3 linked regions of the Coturnix japonica genome follow. The protein of the gene in region 1 interacts with the protein of each later gene in a biochemical or structural test. Links are inferred from orthologs where the notes say so. Each region holds a gene or a part of one and is shown on either strand. Other genes may lie near its edges.

Evidence for each region.
Region 2: the proteins of RAP2A (region 1) and RALGDS form a complex in vitro, tested with the Homo sapiens proteins (2 studies listed by BioGRID). The link is inferred for Coturnix japonica from reciprocal best matches to the Homo sapiens genes RAP2A and RALGDS.
Region 3: the proteins of RAP2A (region 1) and NEDD4 form a complex in vitro, tested with the Homo sapiens proteins (2 studies listed by BioGRID). The link is inferred for Coturnix japonica from reciprocal best matches to the Homo sapiens genes RAP2A and NEDD4.

The regions. Positions count from the first base shown.
Region 1 is NC_029516.1:130,772,075-130,778,717, forward strand, and holds the start of RAP2A (ras-related protein Rap-2a), read right to left. Parts: upstream 3,948-6,643; 5' UTR 3,888-3,947; coding exon 3,574-3,887; intron 3,082-3,573; exon of another isoform or gene 490-3,081; intron 1-489. UniProt on the Homo sapiens protein: Small GTP-binding protein which cycles between a GDP-bound inactive and a GTP-bound active form. In its active form interacts with and regulates several effectors including MAP4K4, MINK1 and TNIK.
Region 2 is NC_029532.1:5,338,129-5,344,162, reverse strand, and holds part of RALGDS (ral guanine nucleotide dissociation stimulator), read left to right. Parts: intron 1-3,168; coding exon 3,169-3,279; intron 3,280-3,468; coding exon of another isoform or gene 3,469-3,471; coding exon 3,472-3,665; intron 3,666-3,789; coding exon 3,790-3,864; intron 3,865-3,979; coding exon 3,980-4,173; intron 4,174-4,475; coding exon 4,476-4,597; intron 4,598-4,715; coding exon 4,716-4,931; intron 4,932-5,052; coding exon 5,053-5,156; intron 5,157-5,477; coding exon 5,478-5,562; intron 5,563-6,034. UniProt on the Homo sapiens protein: Functions as a guanine nucleotide exchange factor (GEF) activating either RalA or RalB GTPases and plays an important role in intracellular transport. Interacts and acts as an effector molecule for R-Ras, H-Ras, K-Ras, and Rap.
Region 3 is NC_029525.1:6,752,670-6,758,703, reverse strand, and holds part of NEDD4 (E3 ubiquitin-protein ligase NEDD4), read right to left. Parts: intron 5,832-6,034; coding exon 5,736-5,831; intron 4,671-5,735; coding exon 4,597-4,670; intron 4,459-4,596; coding exon 4,398-4,458; intron 3,841-4,397; coding exon 3,781-3,840; intron 3,693-3,780; coding exon 3,585-3,692; intron 3,139-3,584; coding exon 3,042-3,138; intron 418-3,041; coding exon 345-417; intron 270-344; coding exon 167-269; 3' UTR 1-166. UniProt on the Homo sapiens protein: E3 ubiquitin-protein ligase which accepts ubiquitin from an E2 ubiquitin-conjugating enzyme in the form of a thioester and then directly transfers the ubiquitin to targeted substrates. Specifically ubiquitinates 'Lys-63' in target proteins.

The sequences.
Region 1 (6,643 bases):
TGGCCGCTGGTAAATTCAACCTAGTCTGAAGAATATTAACTGAAGCAAAGAGCTAAAGAACAAAGTAAACTATTTAATCTCTTCAAAACTCTATACTGATTGACAGCCATTTTTTTTTATCATCATATTATCTAGTTTTAACAAGGATATGGACCCCAATGTACTAAATGATCATTGAGTAGAAAGCATTTAATCTTTAAAGCATTTGGAAAACAACATTTTTCAACTAGACATTTGAGCAATTTGTAATTCCAAGTATAGTTTTCCAGACTTAATCACCATTAAGTCACTTAAGTACATCAATTATCATTGACTCAAGATGCTGATTTCACAATTAATAGATTTCAATAATCACTTCTCTCATATGCTTGAAATTGCCACACAGAATCTCTAGACCAGGAGGCAGATTTTCATCCTGATGGTGAACATTGCCACAAAGAACATTCAGTTTAGACACGTCCTTGTGATGTTTTTTCTTAATATACCTACACCGTTCAGCCCGCGTTTTCAGTCAACCTAAATTAATGTTTTCTGGTCTTTGTTTCCTAGAGAAGAAAGCAGTAGATTAATTAAAATTTAATATTTACTTGTTTTCCCACTACTTGAAACAAAGCATTTCCCAAGAGTATTGCTACAAGTATTATCTAGTAGATTCTGCAAGACACAAACACAACAGTCCTGTCTTCATAACACCGGTCAGATGTCTAGAGAAACTACAGCAATAGAAGAACAGCAAACTGAATGGGTAAGATGGTTATTTCTGTGCTTTAGTTTCTGCTTGAACAGAAATGAGAACACTTTTCTATTTCACGAGGTTCTAGTAAAAATGGACATAGTAAGCTACCACATGAAAAATATGCTGGGGTACATCTCATCTTCCTAACGCTACCACCTCTCAGCATTCGGAAGTACTCATCTTCAAGAATTGGAAGAGCCAAGGTTTAAGATACAGATTTGGCGCAAGCAGGATCCAGAAGCTGGTATTAGGTGCCTGAACACGTGGGGTTTGAACAACGCATTTCAAATTGCATTGCGAGTAGGAGTTCCCAAACTAAGCTTATCTATCATCACCGGTGATAACTGCTTCAAACAAGCACAGAAGTGCCCTCAAGTTCCCAAATCCAGACAGCAACCTTATGCCTTTGACTCACCGCGTACAACCCGACGCCTCACACTGAGCCACCACACATCTTTCACTCTCCTTTTCTGATTACATTCCTCAACAAGCAAAACAAGGCTGCCACTGCTTCACTTTTTCAACAGTTTCTTTCTCCCCATGTACTTGTGCTGAAGCATATCTCCAGATAAGCATGGCTGGCTGGCAGCACTGCAAGGACAGCTCACTGCAAACGTGATTGCTTTGTACATCACAAGCTATGGCCAAGTCACTTGTTGGGTAGGAACTCCTGTAAGAAGCAGCACCTAAAGGAGGAAGACTTGATTCTGTAAAGCTTTGATCCTGTACCACCACAGTCTTCCATCCCACACTGGTGGTATGCTTAGTTATGGAAAACCCCATCCTACAGCACAGGAAGCACTTCTAAATCCTTTCCCTTCTACTCATCTTATGTCTGGTCAGAAAGGGCTGGCAGTGCATCCATCCACTCAGCACTGACAGGACTTCGGCACTGAAGGTAGTGCTTTGATTCATCCCCAGGAAGATCTAGACAAAAATATGTTTATTTGGAAAAGGCAGTTTAGACTTAAACCAAAATTTCGCACTAAAGGACTTTAATTACCTGTTAAAGGCTATGGAGACACCCTCCACTCTTCTTGCTAAAGCTGTGCACCACACCTGAAAGGGATGCAGGGCTCCCACACTAAGCAGTACAAAAAAAGCTAGACTTTTAGTTATACCATTAGGAGACTTCTCTGGAAACTGGGAGACCTGGATTTCAGACCTGTTCAGGCCTATTAATGCATTGTTTTTTAACATTAAATAGCCATTCAGCAGAAACCATAGAGGCAACAGCTACCTTAACTGCTTCTAACCATTCGCTTCAGAGTTGAGTGAAGGTCTACATCTTCCTCTCCCTGCTGGCCCTGTAAACACATTATTCATTCCTCTAACATAAAACAACTTCATCAGGTGGAATGAAGGCCTTCCTTCGCTTACTTTGGTCTGGTATGTGGTTAGACCAGGGAGGCAGAAAATTGAAGCCTGTATCTCAACTTGAAGAGGAAATTTCACCTGGCTTTTCTACTTTACATGAAAAGCAACTCTGCTTATATAAGAATACAAGGGTACCTTCATCAGAAAACAAGAGCAGGGACAACATGTAAAATATAAAGATACGCACAGGTTACGAGACCTCACTGAGCCGTTCTCAGGTACGTTGATAACTCAGCGATGGTTTTGTATCAATATAAGCAAACACTTGGTTTTTCTAGGTACGCATCCTGCAGAATCCCTGGGTAAATCAGACTGTGATTACCTGCCCTTCAGTAAGGATTAAATGCCTTTGTGCAGCTGCATTTCATATATAACAACTACTTGCACAGGTGCATATCTTTGAATACGCATTCTTCCAGTTCAGCTTGCACCCCTGTTACTGGTTAAACTGACAGTACAACACATCTTATACATTGCCTGCTAGCTCCAGCAACCTCTGAAACAGAACAACAACAAACCGTGAGGTACGTTGGCTAGGGAGCATCTGGTACACTTTCAATGTTAAAAAGTGAATTGGAAGATGTGCTTTCAGCAAGTCAACAGCATCTGCCTTTCAACTGCAGCTCACTTACAAGCATCAGGACTGGCTAGAACCACGATTTCAGCTGCTTTTTGGTTACTTTGCATACAGGAAATATAGAATTAAAGCGTTGCTGGTGAATCTTTCATCAGGAACCTCTCTGCAAGCCAGAAGTTGAAGCCTTGTGACACAAGACACAACAGAAGAAGAACAAGAGTGGCATTCAGACCTACCCAAGCAGTGCTGAGTCAATGTAAGCATGGAAGTGGCAGTCACTTTCTATTCTGTTTCAGCATCTAGAGATGTCAGTTCGGGTCTGAGCACAGGCAGAGCCACAGCACTCAGACTGACAAAGCACGGGGGAACCAAAGGCTAACGAGCGCATAACTCCTACCTTCACTACTTGCAGAAAAACCTCTTCTTCTATAACGTTTGCATGCACGGCGAGAATCGCAAAGGTAAAGAAAACCAAGTTATTTTGAACTCAACACAGAAAAACGCGTTACATCAGCCTTGATACCCCCTACGAAAAAAGTTAAGGCACGTATCAGGGAAGCAGAAAGTTGCAGCCCTCCCGAAGGCCTGGGCCCTGCCTGCCCACTTTCACCACGGCTCTACACCGTGTTCCGGACCGTGCAAGCCGTGCTGGTGGCCCATTCTACAAGGGCTGCCGGCTCCCTCCCCCTCGTACAGCGGCAGCGCCGTGCTGGTACGTGCATTCCCTCGTTGTGCTTCCAGCCCGATGCCCACACCCGGCTCGGCGGCCGCGGGGAAGCGAGGAGAGCTCGGGCCCCGCCTGCGGGCGGCTCCCCCCCACACCCCGGCCGCGGGGAGCACGGAGGCCCCCGACCCCCGCCCCGGCCCCGCGGGGACACGGCACCTCTTGACGCGGATGATCTGGTCGCGCATGGGGCGGATGTCCTGGAAGCTCTGCTGGTTGACCAGGCTGTAGACCAGGATGAAGCCCTGCCCGTTCTTGATGTAGAGGTCCCGCATGGAGGCGAACTGCTCGGTGCCCGCCGTGTCCAGGATCTCCAGCACGGACGGGGACGAGTCCACCTCGATCTCCTTGCGGTAGAAGTCCTCGATGGTGGGGTCGTACTTCTCGATGAACGTGCCGGTGACGAACTGCACCGTGAGGGCGGACTTCCCCACCCCTCCCGAGCCCAGCACCACCACCTTGTACTCCCGCATCCTCCCGGCGAGCCTCGTTCCGCCCTCCAGCCGCCGCCCGACCCTCACCTGCCGCCCGACCCTCACCCCCCCGCCATGAGCCGCCCCCTCCCGTCCCGTTCCCCGCCGCTCCCGCCGGGTGCTGCCGGCCGCGGCGCGGCTGAGGTGGGGCGCCCGCCCCGCCCCCTCCTTCCCCGGTCGCCACGGCAACAGCCAACCGGGCGGCGGGAGACAGAGCGGGGAGGACGGAGTCACGTGGCTCTCCCCGCCGCCTACCCCCGCCCTGAGGCGCCGGCCAATGGGAGAGCGCGTTAGAGGCACGTGACTCCCGGGAGCGGCGGTTTCCTGCCGGCCCTGCGCTGTCTCCATGGAGACAGATGCCCCGCCCACTCGCCCCCCCGAGCCGCTCGACCAATCGGCGGCCGCGCCGCTGTCACGCGGAGGGAGGGTTGAGCCAATGGCAGCGCGAGGGGGGCGGGGTTAGAGCTGGGCGGGGCCGCGGCCGGAAGTGCTGGTTGGGAGGCGCCAAGTTGGGGTTGGTTGAGCGCTCGTCTCTTCAGTGTGAGGCGTCGATAGTGATGGGGCATCGCTGGGTGTCGAGGGATATAGAGAGGAGGGGCTTGGTGCCTGTTACGGGCACAAATAATGCTCCGAACGCTGTCTGAAAAGGGCTCTCGTGGGGCTGCGCTTCTCATCTTCCTTTGGTGTTGTGCTTTTTCCTCCTCTTTTGGATCTGCGGAGCTTCCAAACTAAGTTATCTCGGCAGGATGCTCACAGATGCCTTGAAGAAAGAAGTGCTCATAGAACCATAGGATGTCCTGGCTTGAAAAGGGCCACAATACCCATCTTTTAGTCTGCCTTGAAGAAAGAAGTGCTCATAGAACCATAGAATGGCCTGGCTTGAAAAGGACCACAAAGATCATCCAGTTTCAACCCCCTGCTATGTGCAGGGTCACCGACCACCAGCCCAGGCTGTCCAGAGCCACATCCAGCCTGGCCTTGAATGCCTCCAGGGATGGGGCATCCACAGCCTCCTTGGGCAACCTGTTCCAGTGCGTCACCACCCTCTGTGTGAAAAACTTCCTCCTAATATCCAACCTAAACCTCCCCTGTCTCAGTTTAAGACCATTTCCCCCTTGTCCTATCACTGTTCAGCCTCGTAAACAGCTAAAGGTGCTGACTGCTGGTTTATGGTGAGGGGGGTGATCAGAATGAAGATGCAACAGGAGTGCTCACACCAAACAGATTTGCGCCAGCTGGTCTGTCTGGAGATGGTCAAGTTTCATGGGCAGTGAGGCATTTTGTCACTTAATGATAGTGGGATGATGTTTGCAGGGACAAAAGAATCAGAAAAATGGGATGCATGGGAACAGCTTTTGTGGCTTGGAAGATGGTAAAGGAAGGGCAGAACGGGCAGGGGGAGAAGGTGCTGGATGCCCAGAATGGGTGACTGTTCCTGAGGATCTGTCACTTCCCTGATGAAGCTAAAAACCTTACCATTGCCCTAGATTTCTAGCCTTCTCCCTGTTGATTCTGATTCACCTGGGAAAGATGACAACGTAGAAAATTCAGCTGGTAAGTGCAGGAATTTCTGTGCTAAAAACAAATGCAGATATTAGTTATGTGTAGTTATTTTTAGTGAGTTTGAGAACATGGGGCTGCTTCGGTACTGCCAGTTCTTTCTTTTATGCACATTGCTTATCCTTGCACTGTTCTCTACCAAATAGTTGGATGGAAAAAGAAAAAAAAGTATGTTTCAAAGAAAGAGAAAGTTTTATGCCACCAAAGATTGAGCTAGACAGGGTTTGTCCAGGCTGATATCTCCATCCACATCTGATGAGCAGAAGCAGACAGGCAGTCTCCTTTCCCAGCATGACCTCCTTTGCAGCTTCTCTGAACAGTCTCAGGAGTTATCCAGTCCATCTGTGCCGTGTGGCTGGAATTTTGCTGCCTTCACAGAGTTTAGAAACTTTAGGCTTCAGACAGTTTTATTGCTCCCTTCTCGAGTCTTTTATACCAAGCTATCATATTTCAGACTTCAGCAGCCTGTGGCTAACCACACCGTCTTATGATAGGCTGGAGTTTCTCTATAAATATTTCCTATTTTTACACAGCAAACAACATTCTGTTGCATAAGTTTTGCACTAGCTGCTGTGGCCTCTGACTGTGTGCTAGCATACAAGCGATGGACAGGGCCTATAGATCTATTTTTATTCACTGCACGGTAGTAGAATGACAGTGACTTCCCGTTCTTACTTACTGCCATGTTTTTGCACTTGAGCTGGCAATGCTGTCACCACATGGATTGCATCTAGCCATGTGTCATTTCAGTATTTGAGCAAGTGTAGCCAGCATTAACTGCTGAGGATTGAGATCACATTTAGTTTTCCACCTAATACTTCTTGTCAAAATGTCTGATTAGAACTGTCCATACAGCTGCTACCAAACTCATGATACAACTAACTAAAGTGAAAGGTGGCTGACTTTTCTTATCCCTGGCACTTGTAGGTGATCACACTGTTAATTTCCCTTTCTTCCCTATAGTGGCATTATACCTTTTTCTTACCAACTACCAAATCATAGGTGTTTGTCATCTTCATGATAACAGCAGCTTTCCAGATGAGAGCAGGAACCACACCAAGGCACTTGTGAAGGAACAGAACACTGGACCTGAGCTTGACTGAGGACAGTGTATGCACAGGAGCCAGGCTGGTAGGGATCCAGGAGGGCACAGGGTAGGGTTTGATGTACTGCTGGAAGACTGTATGATAGAGCTG
Region 2 (6,034 bases), on another chromosome or scaffold:
AGGCTGAGAAGCCCAACCCCCAGTATCTTTTTGTCTTCCATCTGGCTTTTGAACCCATGCAAATACAGAGCTTCAATGGGAAACTCCAGCTCAAGCAATTCCCTTTTGGGTTGGGGATGTGCCATGGAAAGGTCCGTGCTGCACTGTGCCCACTTACAGAACTCAAGTTCTGCGTTGCAGCGCTGAAGGGGAGCCAAGCAAGGCAGCCATCCTGAGCTTTCAACCAGCTGTTGCTGAGGGAGCATCAGTTAAAGCTCTTTAAGCAGTTTTGTCTCTTCCACGTGTGTTGAAATTAATACCTTTTTCCACTAACAGTTCATTATTTTGTGTCTTTGGAAGCCAGCACTCTAACCCAGGGCCACGTGGGAGCGGAGCTCTTAAGACCTGGTAATTGTGGGGATAATGGTGTGCGATGCACAGGAACGTGGTCATGCTCACACTTAATCCTGCTCTGTGCTCCTGTCTTTCCAAAATCACGTCTGTGACTCATCTCCAAGGCTCTCCAGAACATGGTTTCCTAGCCACTATGTTCTTTGCTGTTTGGGTTTGGTGTTTCCCCCCATTGGGCTGATGCAGGCAGGCTCCTGCTGCTCCATTCCTCGTTGCTTGCACCGCAGCCCCTCCTCCAGGCTCTCAAACCTTGCCTGAATCCTCTTGCTCGTTATTAAACCCCTGTGTGCAGACGTGGGCTCAGCGCCGCGCTGTGTACCAGAACACGCGCCCGAGAGCGGAAGAGTTTATTGCACGGAGCAGGAATTCCTCCCCGCTGCAGTCAGCACAGCTTTGAACCGAGGGCCAGAGCTCAGCGTTGCTCACACAGCCCAGGGCAAAACACAGCTCCGAGGAGCTGGAAAAGCAGGCGGGCCATCTGGTGCGGCCGCCAGTTCATATTTCAGGGGGTGAACTCCCACAGCGTTCACTTATGGCTTTTGCAAAAGTCTCCATGCAGAACTGCTTGCTTGATTCCCCACCAGGTTAAACAAGAGCGGGGTTTTCTTGCTCTGCCTCCATTGGAATGGCTGGATGTTCAGGGCTGCTGAGCTGTAGATGTGGTGGCTGAGTGATTGTTTTTGCTGCGTTCCTGTTTCTTTTTGTGCTTTGGATCTCATTTTACACTGCATTCAGCCCCTTCTACATGAGCGTGGTAGAAGGCACAAATCTCAGAGCGGTCAGTAGAAGTGGAAGGGGCTGCTCACCCATATCAATGCTGAGTGCTTTAGGTGGAGCTGCTCATGAGGGAGGGTTTGCATTGAAGGCCGTGTCCTACAAAGCAGAGATGTGAGCTTGCTGAGGTGTGCTGCACAGCCTAGGCCTCGCTGTTGCTTTTTGCTCGGTTGCTTTTTAACGCACACGTGCAGAATGCACAATCAGCATCTTGGAGAAAGAGCGGTAGGAAAGAGGAAGCTCACGCTGAATATAAATAACCAGATTTTAGAATGTAGCAGTGTAGCAGCTCGCCCAGCTCTTGGCGTGAGCCAAACTGGAGACTGCTGGGAGCCGCGTGCTGTGCGTGTGGTTTGCAAAGGGGGAACTTTGGGGGATATCACAGGAGTCAGCAAACAAAGAAATGAATGAATCTTGACAGTCTTGAATATGGGAAGGAAATGAAATTCGCCTCTACACGCATCAGAATCGGGTGTGCTTTTTCTGCACGTGACGTGAAATACAAGAGGTGGAAGCCCTCGCAGTTGTGGCAATAATTTCCACTGTAGTTGCACAGCAGCTGCCAATGATTCATGCATTGATCTCGGGACATTTCGTCCTCTCACATGATTTGATTTCTTAACTAATTTGACTGCACCTCGACGAGCATCTGCTTTTTCTTGGTTCTTTGCGTCCAAGTTTTCCGATGACCTGGTCAAACCTCTGCTCGGATTTTGTTTGGAGCTTTTTGTTCAGCATCTCCTGGACCTACAGCCCTCACATCCATGGGGAGAGGATTAGGAGGAGAGTACTTTGCAAGAAGCTGGGGTGTTCCTGGTGCATGCTGAGTCGTACTGCTCAGTTTAAGCCGTGGTCTGGCTTCAAGGGAAAGACATGGGAAGGAAGTGGCTTAGTGGGCATGGTGGTGATGGTTGGAATAGATGATCCTCGCCATCTTTTCCGAGCACTGTGATTCTATGAAGCGCTGAGACCACCACTGGGAGCAGCATGGGATGGGGCACCTGCTGGTTGCCTTAGTCCTCAGCAAGCTCTGAGCAGTTGCCATTCCTTAGGGGGTTTCAGTGCTCTGCAGACTGCAGGGAAAGCTGCAGGCTGTTGTTGGCAATGGGCTGGCAGTGTTCTGCACTCAGCATGTGGCTGCATCCCCCTGCTAAAGCTCTTACTGCTTCCAGGAGTTCTCCCCATCTGCTGGGCAGTGGGTTTTGCCATGTGCGATGCCCCAAATGGTGTGGGTGGGGGCTGGAGGGAGGGAGCTACAGAAATCCTCTTAGGAGAGTTAGGAGAGGTGCTGACTCAGCAGAGTGTGGTGAGAGGGGGCCAAACTGCATCTGAGGTGGTTTCTATATCCCCAGAACAGAAACATGAGCCTCATGGCAGGGTCTGGTAATGGCCCTGGGTACAACCATCTGTTCATATGTCCCCAAGGGCACCCACCCTATTGCTGCTCTCTGAGTTTTCTTCCACAATTCAGGCTGCCCAGAGAAGTTGAGGACACCCATCTCTGGAGATGTTCAAGGCCAGGCTGGATGGGGCCCTGGGCAGCCTGATCTGGTGCCTTATTTAGTGGTTGGTAACCCTGCCTGAGCCATGGGTGTTGGAGCTGGATGGTCTGTTAGGGCCCATCCAACCCAACCCATTCTACTCTAGGATTTGAGCAACCCCCTTGACTTTCTGCCCAGCATGCTTGGCCAACATTGCCCAAAGCTCATGGATAGCTTCGTTCTCCAGTTGTTATTTGTTATGAGGCTTTGGGTGCTTGAGGTGCTCAGCTGAAGCTAGGGCAGATTACTGAGATTACGGTTAGAGCCAGCAGCAATGTCACCTTATGTCATATAAAGGCACAGGGAGGGAGATAACTGGGGTGTGGGCATGCAGAGTCTTGGCTCTGCTTGGGCGTAGGTGGGTGAACAAATTGTCTTTGGGATACCCCATCCAGGCTTAGGAGAGCATCTGTGCCACATGTTACCCTCCTTATCTCATGGTGTATCTTGTTGTCCCGTGCAGAGCTCCACACAGGAGATTGGAGAAGAGCTGGAGGATGGTGTAATCTACAGCATATCGCTGCGCAAAGTGCAGCTCCATCACACAGCCAACAAGGGGCAGCGATGGCTGGGGGTAAGTGGGGGATTTTCTGCCACACAGAATGACGTGGTGTCAGGGCTCAGCAGTGTCTTTACTGGGCTACATCCTTGTGTCCCCACATGCTCATGTTCTTGGAGCTCCTTCCAAGCACAATCTGAAAATCATGTATTCATTTGGGCAATCCATCTTCATCCACCCCGCTGACTTCTGCTCCTGTCCCAGCAGTTCGAGAACGAGTCAGCCTTAAACCTCTATGAGACGTGTAAGGTGCGGACGATAAAAGCTGGGACCTTGGAGAAGCTGGTGGAGTACCTGGTTTCAGCCTTCAAGGGCAATGATTCCACCTATGTCACCATTTTCCTGTGCACTTACCGGGCCTTTGCCACCACCAAGCAAGTGCTGGACCTGCTGCTTAACAGGTGAGGTGTCCGTGCCCCAAAATGCAGATAGAAGTGGCTGATGTCTGAGCATCCTCAGCCAGGAGAGCTCCAGCATCTTATGTCATGTCTTGGAGGTCTGATGGGCTTCTCCCATCCCCCTCAGGTATGGCAAACTGCACGTGCAGACAAACGGGGACCACGCCAGGCACGTTGTGGATGAGAGGATGGAGCTGAAGAAGTAAGTCTGACCATACTGGGGGTGACTGCTGTTCAGTTCTCGCATGGAGGCATGTGCTGTCCTATATGTTTCTCATGACCTCACCCAGCTCTCCCCTCTGTTCCTTTCCCCATAGCACCATCTCCTCCATCCTGGGCGCCTGGTTGGACCAGTACTCAGAGGACTTCCGTAAACCCCCAGACTTTGCCTGCCTCAAGCAGCTCATCTCCTACGTGCGCCATAACATCCCTGGTTCAGACCTGGAGCGCAGAGCCCGCATCCTCCTGGCCCAGTTTCAGCAGCAGGAGCAGAGCGAGACTGAAGCAGAAGGTGGGGATGGTTCCCTGCTCATGGGGATATCAGGGTCTGTAAGGAGCTTCAGGTGTTACCACGTGGCTGGATGTGGAGGTACACAGGGAAGCTAATCCAGCTGAGATAGAAGTGGGATTTCTAAGTGGATTGGTTAATCTGCCTTTAATCCTCTGCAGACACTTGCATCCGGGTTAAATACGCCTGTGTGTTTATCTGAGCCTTATGCTGAGGTGTGAAAGCAGAGCTGCTGGAGGTGGGATGTGGTGTGGGATGCAGTGGGGTTCTGTGCTGCAGGGCTCAGCTTTGTGCCATCTTCACAGCTGTGGATCACGGTGGCTGCACGTTCCAGCTGGTGGAGGAGAACGGGGTCGGGGATGGGAAGTCAGATTTCCTCTCCTTCTCCCCTGAGATGGTGGCAGAGCAGTTCACACTCATGGATGCTGTGAGTACTCATTCAGCACAGGGTCAGTGCTGCTGCTCTGGGCACAAACCACTGTGTTCCCTCACACACCACTCCATCTTTTCCCCTAAGAGACCCATCCCATCCCTTTATCTTCCAGGAGCTGTTTAAGAAAGTGGTGCCTTACCACTGCTTGGGCTGCATCTGGTCCCAGCGAGACAAGAAAGGCAAAGAACACCTGGCACCCACCATCCGTGCCACTGTCTCGCAGTTCAATAGCGTGGCCAACTGTGTCATTGCCACGTGCCTCGGGGACCGGACCCTGAAGCCACAGCAGAGGGCTAAAGTGGTGGAGAGATGGATCGAAGTGGCTCGGGTAGGACAAGTGCAGCCCCATTCACTTTGCCCAGGGCTGGGGGTTTGTGGTGTACAAATCAAAGCAGATCCCTTGGCTTTGTTTAACATCAAGCCCTGCTGTCCCCTTTATCTGCTTTCAGGAGTGCCGCATCCTGAAGAACTTCTCCTCGCTCAGAGCCATCCTTTCAGCTCTGCAGTGCAACGCTGTGCACCGGCTGAAGAAGACCTGGGATGAGGTCCTGCGGTGAGCAGCACCTGGGGGTCCTGGGGGTGCTGGGTGGTCTCAGGGGGTGGCTGTGCTGGAGCTGTGGCCCTTCAGTGTATAGACAAGAGATGTGTAAATGGGATCATTGCGGCTCTGGCATTGCCCAAAGCCAAGGGATCTGAGGAGAGTGAGGAAACAAAGGCAGTACTGTCTGCTTCTCCTTTCCATCTGAACACCCTGGAATAACCCCAGTCAGCAAGGCCTGCTGCAGCTGTGAGCTTTGCTGGGGTCATTTGGGTGCGCAAGGAAGAGACCCAGTGTGGCACCATTGCTGACTTCCTTGTCTTTCCCCCCGAGCAGGGAGAGCTTCCGCACTTTCCATGAGCTCTCAGAGATCTTCTCCGATGAGAACAACCACTCCTTGAGCCGGGAGCTGCTCATTAAGGTATGGGGCACCTGCAAGTCCTGACAAGGAGCTTGGGCTGGTGTTGGCTGAAAAGGTCCCTGTTGTTCCATCTGCCAGGCAAACTGGGCATTCTGCTTTTCTACCCCAAAAGCTGTCATTGCATGAAGGTCTTAAAGCAGTTGAATGGGTAGAGATAAGCAGTGGGATATGGTCTGGTGCACCTGAGGATGGCCTTTAACCAGATGCAAAGTTCAGCTCTCCATAGGCCTCCTGGGTTAACATGGGGCAGTGGGGTTTGGGAAAGGCTGAAGCCAGGTGTCCTCACAGCTTTCCAGCTCCAGACTGGGGGCTGAGATCACATGAAATACAAAAGGGAACAAAACAGCCCATTGAAGAGCTATTTATACAGAGAGCTGGAAATGGGAGCAGCACTTCCTATTCATTAAGCCTCTCCTCCCTGTTTAGCCCTGAAAAAGCTCAGCTTAGATTTCCTTCTCTTCCCCTCATTCCC
Region 3 (6,034 bases), on another chromosome or scaffold:
ATATGTTTTCAAAAGTTAGTGAATTTTTAATACTTATTTTACAAGTGATACTATGAAGATTGAATACTCGTGTGACTAAGTAAAATGGTAGTCCCTGGAAAATTCAAATCTGTAAACCCTTGAAATGAAGTTGCAGCACTGGACCGTTACAATTTATGTCTGTGGCTTAATCAACCCCATCAAAGCCCTGAGTATTTTCAATCGCTAGAAGAAGTTTATCCCATAAATCTTCAAATGAATCATACGGAGGCAAATCCAAGCGATTAAAGCTGAAAAACAGATGAAAATTCGTAAGTATTTCTTCATTAACTCAAGGACACAGTTTACCTAAACTAAATACTCACCAGGTATGAGCTCTTGGCAGTTTTTCAGGGGTGCCCCACTGTTCAACTGTAAACAACTGTGGTCCATTTGAACCTGTAGGGAAGAGCACTTCAGTTTTCACCTGATCACATGATTCTTTTCACTATCATTTCAAATTATGAAATACATTGTTCTTTTGTCATCAGATTCTGACTATCAGACTATCTAAATCTGACATCAGATTTAGAAGGAGCCTTTTGCATGAATTAAATACAGTAAACACAATAATTGTCGATAATTTGAATTTACTTCAAGTATTTCTTGGTACATCTTAATTTCAAAAGGCTTTTACACACCTTAAAGTCAGAAGTCTCAGACCTAAACATGCATGCATAGCAAATGGCATTGAACACTTCATGTGGAAGACAGTTTTATGCTGCGTGTTTTCTGTGTAAAAATTTAGACATACTTTTCACAATGTGCCATGTGGCAACGTGGACCTATCAGAAATTAGTCAACGTGTCCCTTTACCTGGGCAACAGCAGAGCAGAGTAACTGAAAACTTTCTGAAATACAGCAACCTTGTGTGCAGCTCTAGAGACCTCACGTAATGAACACACACACCTGAGAGAACTGTTGGTTAGCAACTGCAGCTCCAGCTACACCTGAGTCTTCAACAACTCTTTTACAGTATGAGACATCTGAAAGGTTTTTAAATCTAATCAACTCGTCCCACGTGGATGGGAAAGGCCTTTTGTAACTGCACAGTGACAATAATGAAAAGATGGTAGTAAATATCCAAAAGGTTATTTACAGGAAACACTCAACTGTATGGAAGCCTTCAGTCTGCTAGAAACCACTGAGGCAATCTCCACTGAGGAGCAATCTCCAAGAGATGCTGCCTTAGTGGTGGTCAGCCCTTGAATGAGGTCTAGAGGAGGTGGAGTGAAGCTCCACCCCTTCCGGGAGCACAGCTAAACTACCCTCACCTGTGGTCCCACAGCTGACCCAACACTTGCCTCAGCTGATTAATCAGAGCTTCAGGCTGTGATTACCAATTTCCCATACAGTAACCATTTCCTTAAGCTGTGGAAAGCATTTGTCTGCATGTCAAAAAGACAGAATCACTATTTTGTCAGAGAACAAGAGATGACCTACGATGGTGGGTGTCCTCTCACTTCTACAAGGAGACCATCAATACTAATAGGAACCTCCCAAGCTTAGAGAAGGCGACTAGAAAGAATGCCAGGAAGAAGGATGAATCAGAGAAGTAGCTCTACAATTGAGAATGCTTTCTGCCACGTGACATGAAAATAAAAGACTCTCTTTTCACAGCCAGGTGTGAATAAGCCTGTATTTTAGCCACTCAACTACTGAACTAGAGGCTTACAAAGCAAGGCTGGGGGAAGACAAGAAACAGAAGAAATCTCAGCTGTTTTGTGCATCTGCTCTCAAGCGTTGCTCGATTCACACCGCATTCTTTTTAATGAACAGAAATTCCCGGCGTGGCCACAAGAGGGAGATGTGCCGCTAGGAAGCGAGCCCCAAGAACGAAAGCAACCCAGGCGTAGGGCATGGAAAGCACCGACAGTCCTTCAAATACAAGCAGGTACGAGTGTGACTCAGACCATTACTGGGATTTAGCGAGGATGGCACGCTGGCCACAGCGAAGAAGAAACGACTGTAAAAGGAAGAACCAAAGCACTGTGCTCACTGAACGGAAATGTCAAAACTGTAACTTGTCCAGAAGGCTGCCCAAGGATATAAATCCCTGAGCAGAAAGTGGTTAAGAGATCCAACAGATTCTTCCCTTCCTTACAGGATTTTATTTGTCTAAAAACACTTCCAGAGGCAACAGAATTCCTATCAAGTTCCAAGTGCTGCAGCTCCAAAGCAGTGCCCATGGATCAGGTGTGAGAGCAGACACCTGGCTCAGCAATGCTGCACACATCATTTTTCTCCTTGGTACTCACAACCCCTTCAGTGATGGAATGGAAAAAAATAATGAAGCAAGTATTCACAATGAAAATGAAGAGAGGAGAAAACCAGGACACAGAGTGGTTGGTATTTGTTGATAATCCTATTGTTTTATACACAAATCACTGTGTTGTTTACAAAGAAGGAAATGTTAATTTAAATATACAAGTTAGACTGTTCAGTCACTTGCACTTGCAGTTCAGCCTTAATGAAGCAGTCTAGCAGAAAACTCAATAGCTGATGGCAGCTGAAAACAGATTTCTCACAAGCATCCCTACCCTTCATGGGCCGTCCTATCTGCTTGCCCACAGACTTTCCACAAAGGGACATCTCATTTTAGCACTGCAGCCTGCCTCCCACTGCCATCTGCTTGCTTCAGTCTCCCTGCTGTGGGTTTGCTACTTCTCTTGGCTCATGTTTAACTCACATCATTTCAGTGGTCCACTTCAGAGTGGATATCCTTACAAACAATTCTATTTGTGTAGGTGTGGCTTGGGGGCAGATGAAGGCAGTTACAGAACTCATGAGAATCTGAAGTTAACTACTGATACAAGCATGTCTTTGTAACATTATCTTATACAACAGAATTTTCTTCAAGCTCACCGAGGTGTTAAACAGAGATCTTTGAAGCTCTTCAGAACTTATTTTAAAACAGAAATAGAAAAAAAAAAAACAAAAAAAAACCAACCCCATGTTTAAAGTCAAATATCATTAAAATATCGTTTTCTCAGTTAATTGTGAATACAATCTTATGCACTCACCATAAAGCTCAGCAAACCCATTCATAGGTACACGCGATGTGCCAGTAACAAACTGCAGTAATCTTATTCTCTTTTCAGAGTCCATCATTAAGACTGCCTGTGTATGATAATAATTACAATTAAGGACTTAGCTGAAAGGTTTTTAATTAAGGTTTTAAGCTAGTAGAATTATGCAACAGACTTTCCACCCCTACTGTCTTTGAAGTTCCCTGATGCTATCAATTAGCAGCCAAATTCCGCTATTTTATTAGATGGAAGATTTTAACCTTTTCAGTTTAACTATGTAACAGAAAGCTACACAGTAATATTTAAACCCAAACAGGTTTGTTTTAGTTGTTGTTGTTTTTTATAGGCAAGTTACCAGCAGTCTGTTACACTCTTACCATGCATCTCATTCAGTTTGCTTATCGTCTTTCTCAGGATTTTCAACATACAATTATTTACCCAATTACTGATGAATCAACTACGTGCTGAACTGGCATAGCTGAAATGGAGCATCTTTTGAACAGGCTTTTTTAAGTGAAAATAAAAATCTGGTAATACCTTCCAAAACCACTGTATGACTTGATGATTGACATTGTAGCCATTTTTGTACTTCGTATGTAGTTTCCAATCAGCTACATCCACATCCCCCAGTCCACACATCAGTAACTATATGCATGAAAAAAAAACAAGCAAAGTTTAATTCTGTAATAAAAAGTTTCATTGTAATTTGTTTTCTTTTCTACAATATGCTTACCTCCAGCTCATTTTCATCAAAAATCTTAATCAGATCCTGAGGTATTAGTTCAAAAAAGCCCTAAAAACAGAAGTTTTAAAAATCAAGACAATATTATTTATGCGTTTTCATTTACAAACAATGATACCTATAGAAAACAGAGCCTAAGCGATATATCAAATACAGCTCCTTGATCTTCAGCTATTCACTGATTAATTCCTTCAATTCTGACTTATTCCATGTTTCTTTACCATGCTGTACCGAATTACCAACTCTGATCACTGTGTAAGTAATATCACTCACACAAATAAGGATGAACTAGCTAGTTTCATTTAATTCTTTTAGTCTGATTCCATTTTCATTTATGCAGAATTCAGTCAGTAATTTGCATTACAGCTACAGCTGTCAGCCAGGATTGAGAAATATGCAAATTTTCCAATATGAATTTACCACCTCAGTAAAAATTTACTAAAACAATTTGAGACAGAGAAAATTCAAAGCTGACATTACAAAGTGCCACTGCCTTTCTTATACTTGTAACAATACTACAACAGGTCTTTAGGATGTCACATTCTAAAAAGCCTGTCTTAAGACTGGATGCAACAAATTCTACGAATCTTTTGTATTTAAAATTATACCTCTTTAAAGGCTGCCATTTGTTTCTGTACTCTGCTCACAAATCTCCACTGAATTACAAGACTGTGGGAAAAAAGAGAATATTTAAATGAAAACCAATCTATACACAGTAGCAACTTTCTTTTGTTAATACAGCCAACATAGGCTTGATTCTTAGAGTGGCTACCCAGGGAGACAACTTACACAGGGACCACTACTTACTGAATGTAGTCTCTCTTGTTCTTGTTGGTGACAACTATTTCTGATCCACCACTTTTCAGTTCATGCTGATGAGTCTAGATGAGGTACAAAGAACAGGTCTTACATCAGATTGCTGTATTTGTAAATTGTAAATTGTAAAATATTATGTAATTCAGCTAAATCTTCAAGAAAATAGAATTTGAAAATTATGAGAAACGGTACAAGTTTCAGGCGTAATAGAATCAACCTTTGTTTTAATCCATTTTTTTAGAGATTTTTAGCACATCAATCTCAATTTTGTATTATTTGGCTACAATAAATGACTTAAATTTGCATACAAGTTTTCAGTAGTACTGGCTTCACTAAGTACATGTTCAGTGAGCAAGTCTGATTTTCATGTATCAAGGAAAAATACTTATGGAACAATTTCAGCAATGACCTCCTGTAAATATGTGAAATCTGCACATATATCAGTATCCTAATGATTTACACCATCAGAACCTCAGTGGACAGATGTCGGATTTCCTATTTATTACAGACGCACTGTTTCACCTTCTTAAGAGGAATCAAATCAGCTACACAAGACCTCAAAGGCTATTTAGCTTACTTGGATCTTCCTGGCACGTAATTGAAAGAACCTTTGTTATTTCTATGTGATCTGTGTTGGACAACTTTCTATACTACACCAAACTGGTTTACTCCATAGTTGTCTTGAACAGCTTAAAGAAAAATAAAACAGAAAACCCTATTATTAACTCTGAGAGAAATTTATGATTCCAACCTTTCCCCTACGAGCACATCTTTCCCAGCAAATAAGATAAAATCAGTTTCCTACTGGTCAAGTAATGGGACCATCAATATTTTAGTTTTAGCTGCATTTACAGCAAGAGCCACATTTCAATGTGAGTGCTATGAAAAAAGCATAAGATATTGTTTCTAAGGCTGTGCTCATTTCCAAGTCCTTTATCACATCACATCCTGACTAACAAAGGATTGAATGAGCATGTGCCAGCTAAAGGAAGTTGAATAAACAGATCAACATGACTGAATGATGAACTTTTTTTGTTTTCTTAATACCATACAGATAAAATCAACTATTCTCATAGGTCAAAAGTTTTGTTTCACACTTTGCCTACTGTACTTCACATATGCATACTAACCTGTCCAAAAAGTTCTTCATCAACTATAAATCTGAGGTCCAGTTCCGCTGGATCATTTTCAAGAATCCATCTCAGAGAATTGTAATATTCACTATCCTAAAAGAGAGAAGTACAAGTTTAACGAATGAAGTTTAATGAACTACTGCTACAGTAAAGCTTGTTAAAGCACAATGACCACATACAAAGACCCTTCAAACAGGATGCATAAGCTAGTAATTCACAAAAAGGCTGCTCAAATTTAAGTGCATGGACAATGCTGTGAGTTTGATTAATAATATAATATAATATAATATAATATA